Linked DNA regions of Drosophila melanogaster. The protein of the gene in region 2 purifies or fractionates together with the protein of the main gene of each other region. This does not show direct contact. Each region holds a gene or a part of one and is shown on either strand. Other genes may lie near its edges.

Region 1 (6,938 bases), on a different chromosome or scaffold from region 2:
AAATCATCAATGGCAATATTTGAAATAATGAACGCTCTGCTTTACGATTGAGAGATTGCATTAAACGCGTTAATTATCTGTTAATTTCGAAAGCTCGATTGCCACAAATGCCTTAAGGTTATCGACATTACTTTCGAAAAAACAAACAAACAAACAAGCGGATCTAGAAGGTCTCGTTTTGAAGTTATTGCAATTGGAAATTTAAGAACACGACGGGTTACAACGACTGCTAATACCATATAAAAAAAGGTAGAGTACATTTTTTTATTCTGGACTTTGTTTGAAAGTAAAGAGTGGTTCCCTCTTGGGAATCTGGGTTTCTAAAATTCCGACCGCATCTGTTGGCCTAAGTACAATTATAATCTTCTGACCAAAGTCCACCGCTTGGTACTTCGGTGTTATTCCACTAAACAGAACAATCGGTCTGCTCATTAACATGAGTTGACTCACGTGATCAAAATTCAAAGCAGGTTTTAAAAATGCACGGCAAACTTGTACAATTAAATGCCAGCTTTTCAGCTTGTGTTTTCTTATGCGTTTTGCTTGTAAACTCCGAAAAATTCCCCTAATTGAAGTATTAATACTGCCTATTTTACAACCATTACGTATATTAGCTTAGTAATAGATTAACAAATATTTGCTACTGCTGCAGCACGTTTTCGCACTTGAAGTTCATCGGATATTTTCAGTGGATCTAACCGTTTGGATAAACAGTGGATAGGTAATAAAAGAGACATAGATAGATCATTATCCATATACACATCTCAATTCATTAGTATATATGTGCACTTGTAGTTTATAGATATATGTAAAAGTTTTCTAAGCTTATTCTTATTGTTTAAAGCTGTTAGCTTATATTGATTAGTACATACATACTTAGTCATATTAAGACGGAAAAAATGAGTACATACTAAAGATTACATATTTTGAGCAACAAATTTAAGGGAAGAGTATCCACTGTCCGTTGGTTGTCAGTTCGCTTATGCCGCACATGCCATAACATATTTTATTTATTTTATGTCTGTTAGCTTTTAGGGTGTTTTGCTCATTATCAGCGATTCAAATGGGTTTTGTAGCCCCCGTCAGCGATGAAACAGACAGACAGACATATAGAGACATACGGACACGCTTAGTGGTGCACGGGTGCGTCAGAGACCGGCTTTGCAATTCAGATTCCGGACTCAAATCGGACTCAACTAGTGAGTACTTTCTAGTCTGTAGACCTCTGTGGGGGCTCGTCTTTGCTTGCACAAAAACGAGTTGGCAAAGTCCACTTTCTATGCCAGACAGAAACCTACTTAAAGTGCGATGGAAACTAAAGCAGAAGAGAGGAGAACTGGTCAGGTGAACGAAATCCAAAGGAGATCTTTTGGAATCTTGACCCCGCGATAATCGGTTTGATAACCATTCTCCTATCGCCTCTATTTTTGGCCAGCAAAAGGGAGTGTTTACCATGAGTAGTTGCAATTAAGTGGGGGTCCTCGCAACCGCACGTGAAGTGCATGCCCCAATGAAAGGGGGTCGCAGTGGTCCGAGGAGCCCATAGATAATCTAGAACCCATGTTGACATATGTATTTGATGTGTGACACAGGTGCAGATAATGACCAGTCGATAAGCCCGCTTTATTAACACATCAGAGGTCGGACTCTGGTAAATATTATCATTCCCAGTGGGAGTGCACATCTATATGGCCCCCCTGTTTGGGATCTATAAATAGTCGCTACGTGATGGAAATCTTTAGTTTGGTCCACTCTAATTAAATATTCCTCTCTTAGCATCAATTTTGTTTGCTAACTCTGTTAATTTGCACCGCATTACCTCACGATTGTGTTATAAATTACTAGATCCAACAAAGTTGCTCAAACCCCATTGGTAGTATTATTGGAAAGATAAGCCCAATGTCACCTTATGGAGCGGAAGAAGCACTCGACACGCAGACCTTAAGAATGCTATTAATGATAAAAGATAGCCACATCCCTAAAATACTCTGCTCGAAGTTTTGAAACTCAATCCTGATAACATCAGAATATAAGTTTCCTTAAGCTTTATAACATCATTGCTCTAAAAGTTACACGGGGAGTAAGAAGTCGTTGTGAGTTGATAGAAAGCACTCTGTTGTTTAGAAATAATCTTTATTTTTAGGTTAATAAAAGTTTTGAAACTGGTATCTGTGAAACGTGGCAAATCTAATCTTAGCCGCAAGCGGAAATTATAATCGGAAGCTTTTCTCCTATCGCTTTCGTAAGAATGAAAAGGATTTTCAATAAATAATTTAAATATCGATCTGCGATAAAGAATCTATATCTATTTACGTTTCAATTAGAATTTAAACTATTTGAAGACCGGATCACTGGCTCCCCTGCTGTATTTAAAAATTAAAGCGCATTAGCATCGGAATAAAGTGAAGAATGCATGTCTACAATTGGTTAGCATGATGTGAAAATAACACGTATTTTCGCATGCAAATCAGGGTTTATTTCAGGTATTTCTGGGATAGCTTCAGCACCTTTTTTTGTGCTGTATTTCTGGCAATATTTGCAGGCTATCAATTATCCTGTTGCTTGTTGACTGGGTGTGTTGCCTCATATTTTCTGAAAGAAAAGTGGGCGCTGTCAGGGCCAATCTCATGCAATTACACGAAAACGTTGTTGACACGGCATACGAAAACCCAACCAAAACTCAGCCAAAACCCACCCGAAGCCCGATTGTGTTTGCCCATCGGAATGGGCGATTATGTAATAATAACATGATAGCCAACTAACTACACACTAATAGTACTGGAATGCCCCAGTCACTTGAACGCTTTGCTTTTGTTCACCAACTTTTGCACAGGAAAATGTGCGTGCTATGATTTTATTTTTATTTATTTTTCTTGCTCCACAAACGTATGATCTTGAACGACAAGCTGCTAAGGTCAAAGTCGCTTTTGAATGTAGGTCGTACATTGATTTTGTCGCCAAAATGTGAGAATAAGAATAGATGGACTTTTCTACTTCCGATTACTAGTTGTTTTCTTAAACTGCATTCAGTATTTCAGTTCCAGATGTGAAGTTATATAATCCGCATTCTGAACTAAAAAGAAAAACTATAAATAGCAATGATTGATAAGGAGATGGAACGCCCAGGATCTTCTATTTTTTATATTATATTTTCGCTAGAAAATTAAGTCTATGGCCATTAACTCGTGTCGCCCAGGATCTTCTATTTTTTAACAAAACTCTCTCTTTGCCAGCAAAAGTTACAGAGATCTTACATTCGTTCGAAAACCTTATATTTACTTGAGCAGCCTGTCTAGACTCTAGACCTTATCACGCCAAACGAAAAGCTGATAGAGACGAAGCTTTGACATTGACTAGTCCGGGTCCAGCTCTCCATACAAGTATATGTGACGGCCTGTCGGTCCCGGCGAATCAATAGCAATCAAACAAATCAAACTGTGCCCATAAACTGGTTAAATTTCGGATCACCCCCGTTCGCAATCCCTGATCACACTGCACACGATATGTAGATAATTTCCGAGTAATCGCGCACACTACGTATAGATTATGGATCTATGTGCGACAAACACGTTTCCCCAATGGCGAAACCATAAGAAGGTCATAAATATTGGGCAGCAAGTAGGATGAGTCCGAAAATAAAACAGCCACATTTCCCTCTCTGGGATGGTGTCTATCGCACGGGTGTGTGTTTGGGGGCATGGGGGTATGCTACGCTACGACATGGTATGGTGCGGTATGGCATGGTATGGCATGGTATGGAATAGAATAGAATAAAATGTAATTAACACATGTCTGCCAGAGAGTGACGATGGCAAATTACAATGGTTGGACGGCGAGAAAGGGCTGGGGAAAGAAACCAGCCGAACCGAGTGGAAGAAGAAATTGAGCACAAATTATGCAATTAAATGGCTATGCACTTGATCGATAGACGCAGTCCGCCGACCGACCGGCGACTTACTTATTGATGGCGAAAGTTCCGAAGGAGCGCTCTGCGCCTATTGTCGTTGTCCTGGCGCAAAGTGGGTAATCGCTGCTCCAGCACTACAAAACAATTTCAAACGGGTCGTGAGTCAACGTGGTTTCTTTAGCTTATGTACCGCGCTCAGCACATACAAATTCACGGTTCCTATGTATCCTATGTGCGCGAGGTTTTGTCAACTTGCCGGCCTCTTTTTTTTGCGTTTGGTCTCGGGGTTGCGTTTGGTTTGGTTTGCTTGGAATTGGTTTGGTTTTGGTCTATGTAGGTAGAACAGCGCGAATTCGCAAACGGTTGCTCTGCTGCACTCTGATTCTCTCTTCTGCCCAGGAACTCGCGAACCGTTCACTTCAAAGCTGTCCGTCGGACTGGTCGAGCGCACAAACTCGAAACTTTCGACTAGTTCCGTGGGAGAGTGGTCGTGGTGGTTTCAATGGGAACATTAACGTTCTCTCCCAATCTGTGAGGCTCCTCTCGCAGTTTCGATGTCTGCGCGTGCTCCCTGCCGGCAATGATTTGTTCTCGATAGAAATGGGCGGATCGAATCTATGATACCTCTTAGCTACCAAAGCTAACATATCAAATCTGGCTAACGAATTGTGGGCATTTCATGTAATAAATCGTAAAATCTAACTATACCCAATTAATATCTCCATAGGATAGTTGAGTTATACAAAGTATATTTATATATTAATTATATATTATAATCTCAGAATTGCATCTTTATTTGCCTCACTTCTAATCCAACACATTGAAAGGCTAAGTTTAAAATGACACTATGAAATTCGTATGGAAATCACTAAGGCTTTCATCTAGCTGTTACCCACTTAGCACGGATCTGATATACCCCAATGTCACCCAGTAAAGAGACTGGAACATCAACGAACTTTGGCCTAGCGCAAAGCTGTTTTTGCCGGTCGCACCGGAGAACTTTCTTTTGACATTGGTTCCTTGGAGGAGGAGAGAGGGGAAGGCGGGCGGAGAGAGCAACAGCTGTGCACCGAGCCCCAAAATGGCACAGGTCTCGAAAGCCTGAAAACTCCACCAAATTTTATAGACTTACTTGACTTTTCGTACCATAAAGATAATTTAGAAGAGCTGTAATTTATAAAAGGCGGCCATAAGATAATTTGAAACTTAAAATTTTGATTATGACTGATGAATAATCGAATGAAAATAGCCTACTGAAAATAAAGTAACCTTCTTAATGATGTCTAATCGCTAAGATTCCTTTTACATGTCCTTGCAATTAAATCCTTTATTTTCATAATATATTATAATAGGATATACTTCTTTGTTTCCACAATGCCCACGGATGAAAAATGGAAACGAAACAACCCTGATATGGATCTATTATGCTCGTGGAAACTTTCAGAACATTATGAGCTTGTTGTTGCTTCGCTGTGTCGCAACAGTGAAGTGAATTCGAATGGTCTGGGCGTCGGGATCGGACGCGTGGAACTTATTATATGAACAGCCGGTGGGTCTACGAGTCAGAGGAATCGTACGACTCCCAATGGATGTCCAGATCTGGCGCTGATACGAGTGAGTGAGAGGAGAGAAGAGGAGAAGAGAGGAGCGGGAGCCCGCCTACGCTCCCAATTATCGCCAGTATCATCGGCTCAGTGAGCAGATTCTCGCGCTCCCTCGCTAAAAAACTGATCTTGCCGGTGTGTATATGTGTATGGCGTATATATATATAGGTAGACACGTGTATATCGGTGGTTTTGAGATTTTTATTTTTATATTGCGGCACGCGCGATTGTGGCCATAACAAACCTGGGCAGTCTTATCACCAGACAGAAAGAATCAAAAAGGGGCCAACAAGAATGATGTTGTGTATGAGCGTCGGCAGAAACATAAACATACATATATGTGTAAAATACAGATATAGATATATGTACTATCGTATGCCCGATAATGCTGCACTGAGGAAGTGTAGGGTATCTGCGGCCGAAAGAATGTGCTAGTGGGGCTTATAATCGATTATTTATTTCGATCTCATGTTTATAATATATATATTTGCCAATCTATCTCGAAGGCTCCTCATTTCAATAAACTTTGCTACCAAAGAAGCAATTGAAAACCATTAAAGCTTGGAGATAAGATTGAAGAAATCTATCAACCTATTGGATTAACTACCACCTCCAAAAAGATTCCACACGCTGCTGGGCGATTTTAGCGTATTGGTGAGCTGATAAGAGGGCCACGCCTCCGTCTGAATGGAAATCTTTTATAAGCTATCAGGCCAATGGTGCAAAACCGGCCAGTCATTCCCAATTACTGGACGTACCATATCTTATCAGCTCCAAAGGCGGGAATTAAACTTTAATACTCTGCCTTCGTGGGGATTACACTCTTCTATGGTGCCTATAGGTCGATACAAGATTACTATTGGTTATGTTCGAAGAAGAGTATTCGTTAGTCGCTGCGTTTAAGGTGTCAAAGCCAAAACAGTATTATACACGTGCCGCTTATTTTGGTACTTGAACTTTCTCATGCTGACAATGATAACGTTTTGGTTTGATTTAACTCCTCCGATTTATGGTTTAAATATGCCAATGTGTTAAATTATCAAGCCTTTTAACCACAAGTTTTTTTGCGGTACGAAACCATAATAATTAAGAGCCTTGGACTATAACTTATGAATTTCGTTCTAAGGATAAAAAAACAAGTACTGTGATAAGAAAAAGACAGTTAATTAATTTTTAAGAATAAATTTATCAAAGTCCAAAGTTGATACTACTTCATATTGGGTTTGATATATGACAAATGTGAAGTAAAAGGCTGATCGCTGCGACCTTCAAGTAATCTATTATTAAAACCATATACCCATACGATATAACCTTTATTGAAACGGTAACACTTACCTAAAGGGAATGTTTTTAGTTACATTTTCAGATTTTTGCCAAAACCAATTTTACGATACCTTTAAAATTGTATATTTGTACTAAAAATACAA
Region 2 (9,082 bases):
AGCTCAGATTGGTGGCATCAGGACCCAGGGCGCGCTTGAGGATAGCCTGGAGCAGGCCGTGGGGAGCAATCTCCACGGAAATGGCGTTCTTGGGAACGTGCTGAAGGGCCTCGTGGAAGAGCACTGGCGACAGCAGATTGTTCACGTGGTAGGCGGCCGAGGATTGCTTGGCCACCGGTGTGTTCCAAGCGGATTCTGGGATGCTGGTACTGATCCAGCGGGCGGTACGGTTCTTAGCGTTGGGAATGATCTTCTCCAGACTCTTGCGTAGTTTGGGTCCAGCTTCAGCGATGTACTTGCTGTGGAAAGCGTAGCCGGATGAGTTCACTGCCTTGGCGAACACTCCCTCCGCGTTCAGTTTAGCGACCAGAGCCTCGATGGAAGCCTCCGGGCCAGAGATGGTGCAGTTGTCCTCGCTGTTGTGGCACACCGGGAAGCAATCGCTGGGCACACGGCTGTGCGCATCTTCCCAGCTCAATCCCACAGCGGCCATCTTGCCCTTGGCCAGTTGAGTGTCCAGAATGCTCTTTCCTCGCCAGTAAGCAGCCAGCACGGTCTGCTCCGGGGTGAAGCAGCCATCGGCGTAGGCGCATCCAAGCTCTCCCACCGAGTGTCCCACAATTCCGTCGGGGTGGATGCCCAGCGAGCTGAGCAAATCGGTAAGAGCCACTTGCATGGCAGCAATCGAGATGAAAGAGTTCAGAATGTTTTCGAAGCTCTTGTCCGTGGAACGGGTCAGGACATCGATTAGATCCACTCCCTCGGGCTTTAGGACATCGGCACACCTCTGAATGGTCTTGGCGAAGGCCTCGATCTTCATCAGATCCTTGGCCATGCTAGCCCACTGGCTGCCCATGCCGGAGTAGATGTACCAAATAGGGCGTTTATCGTCGTTGGACTCGATCACCTCACGTTGGTGGGTGCCCTTGCTGCTCACCACTCCGTAGCCACGGAAGAAGTGATTCGGAATAGCCTTTGAGTGGATCTCGTTGATCAGTTGCAGGTACTCATCATCATCGGCATTAGTAGAGGCGGACTCGAGCAACTGCTCCACAGCCTCAAAGGTGCGTCCAGAGGCGAGGACCACTTTCAGTGCTCCATCCTTGGGGGTCAAAGCCTTGGGCTTGGGGTTCGACTTTAAGATAACGTGAGCGTTGGCTCCTCCAAAACCAAAGGAGTTCAGGCCGATGATGCCACCGTTCCAAGGCAGATTCCTGTCGACCACCTTGAGACGTCCATCAACGAGTCCATAAAGATCTGGGTTCGGCTTGTTGTAGTGCAAGTTACCGGGAATGACGCCCTCCTCCATGGCGATCAGAATCTTGGCCACAGAGCAGACACCGGAAGCGGGTTCCGAGTGACCCATGTTGGACTTGACCGATCCGATCAACAGAGGGGTCGTACGGTCCTTGCAGAAGAAGTCAGTGATAGAGTTCACCTCCTGGGGATCGCCCACCTTGGTTCCGGTACCGTGTGCCTCCACGTAAACCACATCGGCGGGGTTAAGACCAATCTCCTCGTAGGTCTCGCGGATCAGGCGATTTTGCATCTTGCCAATAGGGTATGTGATGCCCTGCTCCTTGAAACCATCCGTATTGGTGCGCACATTGAGGATGGAGGCATACACACGCCTGGCTGCAGAGGTGCGCTGCAGGAGCAGCACCACACATCCATCGGAACGGACGTATCCATTGCCAGACTCATCGAAGGCCTTGCAGCTGCCGTCCGGGCTCAACATATTCAGTCGCTTGAACTGCAGCGACATGGTGGGCTTGAGGATCAGTCCAGCTCCAGCGACCAGGGCGTTGTCGACCTTTCCTTCGCGCATATCGGAGAAAGCCTGTTCCAAGGCGTACAGAGAACTGGAGCAAGCGGTGTCAATGCTGTAGCTGGGTCCCTTGAAATCAAAGGTGAAGGAGATGCGGTTGGCAAACATGGCACGGGCACATCCTGTCAAGCCGTAGCCGTTAACCCGGTCAGCATCGCTGCACCAGTGCTGCTCAGTCTCCGAGTTGGACACACCGATGTACACACCAGTGCGGGAACCGCGCAGATCACTTGGGTTTAGGCCAGCGTCAATAATAGCTTCATGGGTGAGCTCGAGCAGCATGCGCAGCAGTGGGTCCATGCACTCAGCCTGCTTTTGGTGCACACCGAAGAACTGTTGGTCAAAGTTCTCCAGATCGCTATCCTTGAGCTTGCCAATCCTGTCGGGAAGTCCATACAGACCTGGAACGAAGGTTGTTAACACATTAGATTGTAACTACTCAAAAGAATGCTATTCCTTATGAGAAGTCCATTGGTAGTTGATCTTACCACGCTCCCAACGGCGGGGATCATCGTTGACCATGTCGACGCCGTCGAAAAGATTCTGCTTGAACTCCTCGATGGTGGAGCTCTCCGGCAGACGGCCGGAGAAACCGGTGATGGCGATCTCATCGTTGAGGTGCTGCTGACGGGGCACATAGTGACCACCACCCAGGTCCAATTGGGGGGCGGCACGTTGTGCGGGCTCAGCGGTGATGACTTCCTCGGCGAATCGGGCGGGCATATTGATGGATTCGGGATTGAATTGGGAGTTTAGGTGGTCCTGTCTATCGTTGGGTGCAGAGTGCGGGGTGGACGAGGAGGTGCTCGGTGTTAGCTGCGCGTCGGTATCACGGAAGGCGTCAGGTTGCTGCGAATTCTGCTGCTGCTTGTTGCGTCTGCGGCGTCGACGACGATTGGCGCGAGCGCTCTTTCCGTTGTTCTGGGTGCTGGGTGAATGTTGGGGCTGATGGGTGCTGCAATTGTTGGGCTTGAAAGCAACAGGATGCGGCTGGTCCACGGCTTGCAACAGGTTTAGTTGTAGGGGCTGCAATTGGAGAAGAGGATGCGAAAGTCTTGTTAGTATAACTCATTTCGTGTATTAAATATTTTAAAATTGTGATCATTCTGCCGCATCTGCAACTTGTCTGCCACCCCTCGCTGTTAAGCAAAAGCTCTTTACCACCCGCAAGCGCAGAGCTTTCGCTCTCTGGAGCGGGATGCCGGGCGATTAGGTTTTTTGTTTGAATGTTCAGCTGGTGGAAAGTTGGTGTAGAAATTGCAAATCAGGTGATGCCGCGCAGTCGGAGCTTTGACCGCGCATATACCGGCACACAGCATTATTTGTTATGGGCGGCTTGCTGCTTTGAAGCCAGCGACTGGGTTGACAGTTAACAGCAACTTGTGGCAGTCGCGTTAACAGTGCAACACCATTCGCGTTAACATAGGCCGCACACACTCACACTGAGCCAACGCGAACGGCAAGCTGCTTTCTTATTCGCCGAGAAACTCGTACGATGTGCGAAATCGAATGATTCAACAAAAGAAGGGAAACTATATAATGAGCGGAGCTGGCGGAGTCGGTTTAAGCTGAAATCTGGGGAAGCCGAAAGCGTCGTTAGAAGAGGAAGAGCGAGAACATGAGCGGTCAGCAACACAGAACAAATAAACAATACACTCAGAACAAAACGAAATACGAATCGTGCAGCCGTAGTTTCTTTGAAATTCAAATGTTATTGATCATATAAATATGGAACCATACTTACAGGAACCATTTTCATATAATAAACCTATTTTTCCGCGTGTAGCCACTACAAATTGCCGGTAAAAATCGGGCGACTCAGCAGCAAGCTTATCTATCAAATGGCCGTTGGCTTGGCCAGACTTCTATGTTTATGTTTTGCTATTGTAATAGGCATCCGAATCGGAGGTGGGTGCCAAAGAGAGCGGCGTATAGTCAAGACGCAGCCCCAAAAGTCCCCACCGCCATGTGTGTGTACATACACACACACACACACAGACACACGAGCTCGACGCGTGTACCATTTGTTTAGTGAGATAAGGTGGCGTGATTTCTCAAGTTCATTGAAGTATTATTTTCATAGTCTCTCCAGATCGGTTGATCTACCGGTGAATAAACTCGCAATGCGATGGTGAGAACTATCCTTTTACAGCAATTGAACGGGCGTATATTGATTTATCGATGGCCCCCGCCCCCAATCGATCCATCCATCATCAGGCCATATTGCGAAAGTTGCGTCATTGGATATGTAAACACGGGTGACAAACATAGCCCCCTCCCCTTTCCACTCTAAACTGTGTTTGTTTATGCACTCGGTTCCATTCCCGCAGCCATCGATTGGGGCCCAAAGTACTGCTGTACGCGTCAGCACAGCCCCCGCCCAAAAACCCACATCCCCAGCCCAGCAAATCGAATCTGCCTGTGACGCTTCAAGTTCATGAACAAGATGATAACGTCTCTGACTGAGACTAGGCCATGGGGCGATTCCGAAACGGCCTGGTGGTGATAAGAGTGATAAGGCAGCGCTGCCTACTCATACGACTGTGCACCTGTATCGGAAATGTTTGATCGGCGGCGGACGCGTGTTCTTCAGGAAGCGACGACTCTATTAGCCGATAAAGATTAGCCAGACACTCGAAATTTTCCAATCACACAATCGCACGATTCTTGTTTGTTTTTGGCTGCGGAATTGGGGCGTGTGGCCGCCTTTATGGGTTGCTGGGTGTTGTTGTTTTATGCAAAGCGATCGCTTGATAACTCACTTTCAACTTTTTGAGCATTCAGCTGGTAGAGCTAAGCAATTTCTGAAAAGTATTTTACTTTAGGTGCTTAACTTTTGAATTTGATTTTGTATTTAAGCAAACAACTTATTGTTATTGCAACATTTATCACTGCAATTTCAAATGTAATAATAGTAAAATTTATAATATTTGTTTGTTTGCTTGACTTTAGCTAAATACGCAGATAGATTTCCCTATTTTCGTATTAAAAGCAATTTCAAATTTCATTTTTAGTAACTGTCTTAATGGCTGTGCAGTTAGCATGGTTGTAAAATAATGAAAATGGCACACGCAACCGGAAAATTGTTGGATTTGTCATTTCAGAAGGTTTGGGTTCGTTGCAAAAATGGCACTGGACTTATTTACATGGGAATATTTAGCAAGGATTTCCGAATTGCAAAAGGACTATAACGATGTCTGCCAAGGAAATCGTAGAAATTAAGCAGCTCTTGCATGGCAATTAGAAAGGGAAACCCTATCGCGAAGCCCCTACTATATGGAGCAGACGAGAGGAGACTGGGACTTGGACTTCCCCCCACCGCCGCCCGCACATCTTGCAATTAGCGTGTAATTTGGTGTCTCAGCGCAGCAGGAACTGCTGTTTTGGGGGGCGTTTGGAGTAGTAGAACAACACTTCTATGGGTCCTAAAGGTCAAAAGCACTGGAGAGCAAGTGCGAACTTAGTAATTCGTATTTTTAGTCGACTTGACGAATGATCACTTGGAGACGCTCGATCTAACCATTTTTCTCCTATTTTTTTCACACTTTTCCGTTGTTTCTGCTTTTTTTCTTATTTTCGTTAGCAATTCACTTTTTGTCCAGCGAAAATTTCGTTTTCATTTTCTCCTCAGCACACCAGCACACACACACACGCAAATTTGAACAGGGGCTGTTTTATTCCTGCGGCTGCCATTTTTTGTACATACCTAGAAATCAGGCGATTCCTCGACAGCTGTTTTTCGAGTTCTTGGAGTGGAGCGGGCGGAGGGCTGCGCGGAGGATTCGAATTCAGTTTCGTGGGGGGTGTTCCTTTACAGTTGGTCCTGACTGAATGGGGAAACCGTTATAATCCAGAAACTGAAACTGCTTTCGACTCGAAGTTCTCCGTTGACTGCCGTTATTAGCTTAGTTAGTAGCTATTAGTTTTTGAAAATTACTCTGCCACACACAGTTATGTTCTTTGGGATTCAAACGTAGCGTACCGGCTTGTAAAACCACGACAACGACGGAATGCTGCGACGAACGGAAATGCGAGAATCAGGTGAGCGCCGGCCTTTTTATATGACGCCCGCCGCCTCCAAGAAGAGCTTTTGGAGAGCTTCTCGCTGCGCTGCTCTCTCGCGCTGTTAAAAGTTAACCGTAGCACGATGCCCTTCCCCTACAGAGGGTACTTCGAATTCGGTCCGCCGCTTGGGCTGACATCCTCGACCTTACCTCGTAGACCTGATTGATAAGCCGCTGTTTACCGGCGATCTACTCACGGATCTACGATTTCATTTGATCATTCACAATCTACCTGAAATCCATTACTTGTACTTTTCGCTTATTAAGCTTAAAAGTGATTGGTTATTGATCAATTAGATTGAATGGTTTTTAATATTTATAGCACCTATTAAAACATATGTGGGTTCAATGAAAATATGTATAAATATTATTGCTAGTGTCAAAAAGGAAAATTCTTATTTAATTAACCGAATTGAATTAGTTATTATTTCAAAAAGGTCCTAGTTTAAGCAGACTGCGTAAAATTTTTTCAGCAGCAGGGTGTTTTTAATTCGGATTTCCAAAGCCACTGTTATTGGTGTAAACTTCTGTTATTGTTGCTGGACTCTGTGCGGCGCTTAAATTCGCATTAACAGCGATAAGTGGTCAGCTGTTGTGTGCGTGACGGAGATGTAGAAATTTTGATTTGCCCGCCATAGTCGGACCACTTTTTCGTCGATTATTAATCGTCTGGCGAGATCACTAGCGCGATAGAGTGGGCGGCATTATCAATTATGGAAAGGTACGCCGAAGTCGGGTCAATAAAGCCAGCCAGCACGGGTCAGAATGTTCGGATCGTAGTGATTCATCGTGGAAATCATGCGAGTACCACGCGAGTAAAACTGGAAACACGAGCGAACTTCTCCGATCGTTTATAAGCCAATTACTTTGTGAGAAATGCCTCGCGATAGTATACATTTGGAAAATTATCTTGTATTAGACAATGTTCTGATTAGTGAAGTTCGACCGTACTGAATGCGTTCATTATTCTTAAACAATCAATGCGCGATTGCTACGTGTATTGATAGGATTAGGGTATATGTACATTAAGTTCTACAGGATAATTCATCAGCATAATCGTACGAACTACTTCCCTTCCACTAGGGACGCTTCCGCAGGACGCGCTCGATGATCTGTAGAGTGTGCGGCTCCTTGAGGAAGGTCCTGTGTGTACCCTCCACCACATGCATGTCGATCTGGGCACTGCAAATCTGCAAGGATTGGAGGGAAATGGTCATTAAATAATGCTATAGATAGGTTTTATAGGCACTTACCTCCTTGAGGCCATAGTCCTGGGCCATAATCGCATTGTGCTCGGCCGACTTGATCAAGACCACATCGCTGTGGAGCTGCTTGGCGCCCTTGTAGCTCTCAGAAAGTAGCAGCTTCTGTTTGAACATGCAGGCGGCCTTCTTGATCTGTGACAATGTTCAAATAATATGGTAGGTTAGGTCTATAAAAACAATATAATGCAACAATATGTTTTTAAGTGCCTCACGCTAATTGCGAAGAATACGGACCATAATAATACACTAACTATTTGTCCGGCACTTTTAGAAGGCACTTTTTCTCGTCTGTTAAAAAGTACACACTTGTAATAAATACTACTTGAAATTATAAACACACACATAAGTGTAAGCAAATGCATCAACTTAGTCTACAAGTACTATAGTTAAGCCAGTACTTAATCATCAATCAAATAGATAGATGTTCAACAAATGCTTACGCTTTTATGGTGGTTTGGAAATCTAATTGACACATATATTATTAAGCAATATTGTAATTAGAATCGCTAGAGACCCACCACTTCTCTGGTTTGCTGCGTGTAACCAGCCAGAGTGTCTGCTAGTTTGTCGAGCTTGGAGGGCCATGTCTGGACTCCATCGAGGAGTTGCAGTAGCTGTAAGGATCAATATATTTATAAGAATGGTTTATAGGATCAAGCACAACAAGGAACATGGAACCACCTGGTTGTAATCCACGTCGGCGAGCAGAGCTCCAAAGTAGGCCAACGTCATGGACTGCTGCCGGTTGAGGTCGTCCGTCTGCTTCTTGGCCTCCTGGACATAGCCGCTGGCCATGGTGGGCGCTCCGTCCAGCATGATGACCTTGACCCCGAAGCGGCGCTGCTCCAGCGCCACAGCAATGGCGTGGGCGAGCAGGCAGCCGTAGGAGTAGCCTACGATGTGGTACGGTCCGAGGGGCTGGAGCTTCTGGATCTGGCGCAGATAGTAGGCGGCACAGGCCTCGATGGAGTCCAGGGGCACTTGCTCCGTGCACTGCAGCCCGTAGGCGGGGCAGGTGAGCGAGGCGGCCAGCGCCTCCACGGCTATTGTGAATCCCTCGATGGGAGCCAAGAAGAACACAGCCGGATCCTCGCTGGCCACGGGCGCCTTTGACCGAAGGCGCACCATCACCTCCTGGGGTAATACTTCCTTGGCGAATACCTTGCGCGTCTCATCGCTCTGGGGCTGGACCTCCACGCAGGCCTCCTCCTTGATCCTTGATAGGGTGGAAGAGGCTGAGGGCGATGAGACTGAAGCGGAGGGCGGTTCCTGGGCGTCTATCTGGCGCAGGGCGCTAAAGGTTAGCTGGCGGATCTCCTGGGCGCTCAGCACCAGGTCAAAGTGACGCTCCAACGTCTGCTTGATCTCTGTGCTCATCAGCGAGTCCATGCCAAGATCGAAGAGGGTGGTCTTATCGGAGACACTCTTTACATCCCTCAGTCCCATGATATTCGCGATCGTGGCTATCAAGCTCAGCCGGTTGGCCTGCTCCGTCTTGCGTTTTTCCGCCACCACCATGGAGGCCATGACGGGATGGGGCTGCTGCAGAAATAGGTCCAGAGTCTCCAGACAGCTGATCATCCGCTGCGGCAGAGTGCCGCCCACAACTGTTTCGTTGTTGCCCATGTGCTCGATGATCAGTCCGGTGTCCCCAATTGCTCCCCATTGAATCGCTGTGCCCGGATAACCATATTCCTGCCGCTGCTCGCATATCCTTTCCATCGTGGAGTTCGCCAGTCCATAGTTGGTCTGTCCCATGTTTCCCCTGCCGCAGGACAAGCTGGAGAAGCACACGAAGTACTCCAGTGCAGGACAAATTTCCCGGGAGATCTTGTCCAAGTGTATGGTGGCCAGTAGCTTCGGTGCACTTACCTTTTCAAAGTTCTTCGGGCTTTGATCTTCGATCAGTCCATCCCGTAGTACAG
Region 3 (6,623 bases), on a different chromosome or scaffold from region 2:
CTTCCGCGAGGAGATGCTCGAGTTCGCCCAGTTCTGGAACTACAGGAGCTGCCTCTACCTGCCGCATCAGCAGTGTGACTCCTCCGCTTGCCAGGAGGCGGGCCACTGTGCCCAGCAGTGCCCTCAGCTCCGGGACAATCTACGCTACAAGGAGACGGCAAAGGTGTCCCGATTAGATGCCACCGAACTGGCCACCCACCTCAATCCCGCGATTCCCGGACAGCGTGTCCTCATCGTGGCTGGAGATTCAAGTTTTCAAAAGAACATCGCCCAAATAGCAACACAATCATTGGACGTAGATCCGGCAAACATTTATATGTTGTAAATGCCGGGAAAAACTGTAGTTGCTTATAAATATTTGAATATTGTTAATGAATTTGTGATCGTACTGGTTATACCGAGGGTTTTATATTTTTTATACCCTAGATTCGTTGAAAAGTATGTAACAGACAGAAGATATACATATATTCTAGATCTGGATCAATAGCCGAGTTGTTCTGGCCATGTCCGTCTGTCCGTATGAACGTCGAGATCTTAGGTACTATAAATGCTAGAAGGCTATCACGCCCACTCTAACGCCCACAAACCGCACAAAACTGCCACGACCACACTTTTAATAAATGTGTTGATATTTTTTCACATTTTGATTAGTCTTCATTAATTTCTATCGACTTGCAAACAACGTTTTGCTACGTCCACTCGAACGCCCAAAACTGCCACGCCCACATTTTTGAAATATTTTTAAATTATTTTATAAGTCGTGTAAGTTTCTATCGATTTAAAAAAAACTTTGGCACGCCCACTCTAACGCCCTAAAACCGCCCAAACCTGCCGCGCCCACATTTTTGAAATTTTTTTTGGATATTTTTTAATAATTTTATTAGTCGTGTAAATTTCTATCGATTTACAATTTTTTTTTTGCCACACCCAGTCTAACGCCCTAAAGCGGCCATAACTGCCACGCCCACACTTTTGAACAATTTTTATTCCCCAATATCTATCGATATACCAGAAAAATTCAGAAATTTCGCGTTCGCATTCACACTAGCTGAGTAAAGGGTATCTGATAGTCGGGGAACTTGACTATAGCATTCTCTCTAGTTGGCATTTGAAACTTTTACATGTTTTCTATACTTCCAATTAAGCATTTGAGTGTACCGAAAATGGAATGTGTACTTCCATAAAGGAGGAGGAGTTCACTTCTTCATCATCAGTAATACAGGTAACTCCAACTACTTCTACTGTTTTGCCCACACTTGCTACTTTTAATTGGTTATAGGGCATCTATACTTATCGCTGCTAAATGAACATATGGTTTTGGCCATCCAGGTGGCTCTTCAATCCATTTCGCTGTCGGCAAATCATTTACTTTGTTAAAATCTGAGCATTGCAGTTGCAATTCTCATACCAAATGTATCGATCGGGATTTAATTGTCTTTAAAAAAGCCGACTGGTTTTCGCTGTAATTAATACAATTGAGCGTCTGGTTATTCACTGGATGAATCGAAAGGAAACATTATGAATCCAATTGCCATTAAACATTCTCTATGGTCATCTTTTTATTTGACCTCCTGTGTCCACAACATGGTTATGATTCCATTTGACTATTAGTGATCCAATCTAATTCAAGTCATACCAAGTGGATGATATTTTAGGAATCAACCCAATTGGTGTTCAGATTGGAATAATCTGAACACCAATTTGAACATACCCTGTACCTTGATTTTGAGAAACAAATGTGTTTGTGCCTTAACAATTCGTTATTTCGAAACATTCTTTACAAAATAATTTGAATTACTTACAAACAATAAAAAGGATAATTTTATTTTGAAGCAAACTTATTGTTACAAGACAAAAACGAAAAAAAAAATAAAGTAATTTAACTTAAATACTGTGAGTTGATTCAAGATCTTTTAACATTTTCTTCATGGATGGATAATGATAATGGATAAAGTCAATTTGGAGATCTGCTCCAGTTATATTATAAATCCTCGGGCTTCGGAGGTTTTTTCAGTCCTGTAGCTTCAGGCTCTTAATGTAGTCAATGAGTAGCTTGGGGTGCACATGTTTGATCTCCTGAACAGGCACGGCTTCCCCCCACTTGGATCCCTTCCAGGTGACAATGAAGTAGACCGTGTCACCAAGCATATAGCTGTACATAACATTCTCAATTGCTTTGCCGCGGACCAGGAGCGCATCCGTAGGCGGCACGTTCAACGGTTGGGACTCATTGGAATTGCCGCCATCGAGATTCCCTGACACGCTGCCACCGTTGGTTGCATCCAGTTCTGCCTGTTGTACCAACAACTCGACGAGCAGCCGAGCCAGCTCTGCCCGAGCCGAATTGTGAACTCCCATGTGCTTTGGAGGCGGCGTCGAACCGGCCTCCTTGGATTCATCCTTTGTCGGCTCTTCCTGCACTTCCTCCTGCTGATCGTTCTCCTTCTGCTGATCGTTCTCCTTCTGCTGATCGTTCTCCTTCTGCTTTTCCTCCTCCGCGGGGAAACCACCTGTGTTCTTGTTGTTGGGGCTGTTTTCTTTGTCCGCCATCGTTTAGCAATAAAGTTCTCTTGCAAAAGTAAACCAAATGAATTCACGTGCAATCGTTAAATGAAAAATGGCGGCAAGTTTCCGATTGCTGAAGCTGCCAGCTAGTGCGAATTGCATTTATTAAAAAAAAAAAAAAAATGAATAAGACATTAATATTTTCAAACTCTGGCAACGCCCTAGATTCAAATCATAGGTTGGTTTTCGGCCAAGCGTCCAGTGCGTCTAAAACTATGTTATCTGACTTTTCTGGCGATTGCTTAAGTTCCGGTGGCGGGCCCATCAAGTGGGCATATTTGGCCAGATACGGAGTAAGCAGCTCCATGGGCAGAGGAAAGATAATGGTGGAGTTCTTCTCGGCGGAGATGCTGCTCAGGGTTTGCAAGTAGCGCAGCTGTGATGACAGAAAAATTCGAATGGCTGGTAATCCGTGCTCAACGATTGATTTCAGCTTTTACTAGGACAACACCCACCTGCAAGGCCGATGGACTGGCGGAAATGACATCGGATGCCTCCTTGAGCGCTGTGGCGGACTTCTTCTCACCCTCGGCGGCGATCACCTTGGCACGAGCATCACGAGCTGCCTCCGCTTCGGCGGCCATGGCACGCTGCATGGAAACGGGCAGGGAGACATCCTTGCTGTCAGCGGGTGAAGTGCATACAACGTACAGATGTTAAGAAATACTGATCTGATCTGATGGATGTCAAATGCCTACTAAATGGCTACTTACATCTCAACGCGCTCCACCATGACGCCCCACGGCTCGGTGGCCTCGTCCAACGTGGCCTGCATATTGTGGGCCAGGGTTTCGCGCTCGGTTAGCAGTTCGGACAGGTTGCGAGTGCCGACGATATTTCGGAGCGTGGTGGCCGCCAGGAGGCGAGTGGACATGCTGTAGTCCTCGACCTGGATGACCGCATAAAGGGGATCACTGATGCGATAGTAGACAACGGCGTCCACAGTGACCGTCACGGAATCCTTCGTCAGCATCTCCTGCTGCGGCACATTGAAGGTAACCGTGCGCAGGTCCACCTTGCGGTACTCATCGATGCACGGCAGGATGAAGAACATGCCGGGACCACGAGCTCCGCCGCTCAGTCTGCCCAGCCGGAAGATGATCGCCCGCTCGTACTCCGCCACCACCTTGAAGCATATGAAGATGGCGATGGGCGATGTGATGATGAAGATCAGCACGGAGAACAGGGTGACCACCCATTCCATGCAGCCCTTGGGCTCGTTCTCCGCTGCAATGGGATGTTAGGAATATGAATATGAAATATTCATCTACAAAATGGCCATATTTCAGGCATATGTGTACAATAATTGTGCCGCAAGAGAAACGTAGATAAGTCCACTTCAATTCGATGGCCAAGATGAAGTACCTTCTTTGTCCGGATTCCGAAGAGACCAACTTATTATTAAGTAAAACAGGACTATGATGGACTATGTAACAACTTGAAAAAGAGAAAGCTGTGAAAAGCAATAGCCATCACAATCAAAAAAAAGAAAACACGGATAAACACCAATCAGCCCGCTTATCTTGGAGTCCAATAAAAATTCCTACGATTAAAAATATAGACAGGTGTAATATATATGCGCCAATACAATTAGAATGTTGTAGCAATTGACGATTATGTGGGATTACGATGGAAATCAAATTGCTACTAGTACTACTTTGATAAAGCGAGAGATAGTTTGTATTTTTAGAACTCCTATCTAGTGAATACTATTAACCGAATCAAGCGGTTTTGCATGTCTGAAATATTGTAGAATGCTTTGAGCCAAAAACAAACTTTTCACGCGATCAAAATGCTGTTGCAATCTTATCTGAACCAGCGATTCCAAGAAATCGTATCTCAATCGATCTAAAGTGATTAGCGCTTGACAGTAAGCAAAGACTTGTTTTTTTTTAACAATAATAATTCTCCTAATATTGGCCGGGATGGGTCATCATCTTGCTGCATCTATAGTATACACCGTTTCCGCCCGCTTACAAGTTTTGAATCCACGATACTGCTGCGTGGTGCCGGGCACTCGAAGTGCCGGCTCGGGTGCCATGCCGGCGGCGCCCATGTTGACCATGTACGCCGTGGAGCTGGCCGGCCCAGAGTTGCGCATATCTTCGTAGTTGGCGTACACGGGCGAATCCTGGTGCGGCTCCATTGCTGTTTCTCTGCTCCGTTCTGGCCTACGTTCGTTGCTCTCCGATCGGCTATGGATTCGAAACTGTCGCCAGCGGTCAGCGCCGCAAAAGCCAAACTGAATGCCCAAAAGCGTTCTCACGTGATAAGAGCGCACTGGTTCTCTCAGATACGAAGTATCGCATTGGCATTATCGCTACGCTGAGCTGCCGAGCGGCTTAAATGCGATTCAACAGTGAGAGAAAAGAAGCACTGCACTGAAACACCACGAACCAAGTGTGCCGCCACTGAAAGAGGCGATCTCTAGTCCGTACATCCTCCACAGCAATTGAGCACATGCCATATAAGAGAATGTAATGGAATGGAATGTAAATGCATCGGCTCGTAAATTTTCGTTCAGTGTAGTGTATCTACGACCGGGGAAACACCAAGAGCCGCTCTGTAAGTCGAGAGCCATGGGTCACCACGGATGATTCACTGCACTGCGCCGAAAGAATTGCCAACTGGAGGCGTACACTTTCAGATTATTCCGACCGACGATCAATGAAAGCCGAGTAAGCTCTATCTGGCCCAAGTGCGTTTAGCACTTTAATCAATCGGTTATCTCAGCTGGAGCATTGAGACGCAGTTCTGCTTTGGGGTCACGGGTCATTGGCTGGAGCCACCCGATGGTGACTCAATTCTGATCTGGCGGTCACATTAGCACTGAAGAGCTTATCTGCCACACTCGCTGAAGTGGCATGCAAATCTGAGTTATTTAGATAAGCGAAGAGCAAATATGTACATACATATATATATATCATATATAAATGTAAATTTTGTTGTTTCGAAAAAGGGGGAAGAACTGAAAAAAAAAATGTGTTTTCTGAATCATTTGGTTTATTTAAATGGTTAGCTTTTACCCTGGTTTGTAGTTAGCTATTGTTATTAATTCTTAAGATACAAACAAATAATATTGGTTATTTTAAATATAACGTCTCTACTTAAAACGACTGTGAATGAAGAAGGAAAAGCCTTGGAAAAGCCTCAGTTACTATTGCATACTAAATTCGACATATTAGAATAAATTCTAAAAAAAAAAAATTTATTTTTAAGTCCGAACCATGTTTGAATCTCTCCAGAATCTAGGGAATTCCATGGCACTTTCATTCGAATTCATTGGTGACTCATTTTCCGGATTTTCCGGACAGTTCCGCTTTCTGTCGCTGCTGCCGCCGTTCCACTAGAGCAAGAAACCCACGATGTCGTCATCGTCATCCGCCGCTCCCGCTGCAGCCGCTCCGCTTCGCTGTTGCTTCTGCTGACGCTGCAGCTCGCAGCGATGCAGTGCCTCCAGATATGGTTGCAGCACCGACATCGAGCGTCACTGGTGGTGTTGGTGCGGGTGTCGATGGAGTGGCGTGCCAGGAGCCGCAGGATGTTGTTGTTGTTGGTGCTGATGCTGCTGCTGTTGCTGTTGCAGCTGCTGCTGGTGTTGCAGTTGCAGCTGCTGCGAGTGTGCTTGGGTATTCAGGAAGGGCGTGAGCAGCTCCATGGGCAGCGGGAAGATGATGGTCGAATTCTTCTCGGTTGAAATGCTGCTCAGTGTTTGCAAGTATCGCAACTAAGTAGAGAAGAAGATGGAACGAATGAAACCATTTGGGCCAGTTCCAAATGTCCGATGGTTGGATTCAGATGGAAGAAGATGACTCACCTGCAGGGCGGATGGACTGGCCGAGATGATCTCGGAAGCCTCGCGCAGAGCCCTCGACGACTTCATCTCGCCCTCGGCGGCAATGACCTTGGCCCGCGCCTCCCTCGCTGCCTCCGCCTCGGCGGCCATCGCCCGCTGGAGGGCAGTTGGCAAGGATACGTCCTTGCTGCAAGCGGATCATGGATAGAGTGGATCATGTCATGATCACATCACGACTTTCGGCAGTTGGCTACTCACATCT

Evidence for each region.
Region 1: the proteins of FASN1 (region 2) and PCB purify together in Drosophila melanogaster (affinity purification with mass spectrometry, with the first as the bait; one large-scale study listed by BioGRID). This does not show direct contact.
Region 3: the proteins of FASN1 (region 2) and Mec2 purify together in Drosophila melanogaster (affinity purification with mass spectrometry, with the first as the bait; one large-scale study listed by BioGRID). This does not show direct contact.

The regions. Positions count from the first base shown.
Region 1 is NT_033778.4:9,856,412-9,863,349, forward strand, and holds the start of PCB (pyruvate carboxylase), read right to left. Parts: upstream 5,133-6,938; 5' UTR 5,040-5,132; exon of another isoform or gene 4,734-5,039; intron 4,349-4,733; exon of another isoform or gene 3,959-4,348; intron 1-3,958.
Region 2 is NT_033779.5:3,053,377-3,062,458, reverse strand, and holds the start of FASN1 (fatty acid synthase 1), read right to left. Parts: upstream 5,471-9,082; 5' UTR 5,352-5,470; coding exon 5,349-5,351; intron 2,855-5,348; coding exon 2,317-2,854; intron 2,230-2,316; coding exon 1-2,229. Other genes in the region: FASN2 (fatty acid synthase 2), read right to left, coding at 6,972-7,082, 7,146-7,289, 7,676-7,771, 7,836-9,082.
Region 3 is NC_004354.4:19,186,203-19,192,825, reverse strand, and holds Mec2 (Mec2), read right to left. Parts: upstream 4,792-6,623; 5' UTR 4,712-4,791; coding exon 4,543-4,711; intron 3,793-4,542; coding exon 3,279-3,792; intron 3,187-3,278; coding exon 3,021-3,186; intron 2,942-3,020; coding exon 2,738-2,941; 3' UTR 2,633-2,737; downstream 1-2,632. Other genes in the region: CG7914 (uncharacterized protein), read left to right, coding at 1-325; HP1D3csd (heterochromatin protein 1D3 chromoshadow domain), read right to left, coding at 2,011-2,550; CG33253 (uncharacterized protein), read right to left, coding at 6,053-6,292, 6,383-6,548, 6,620-6,623.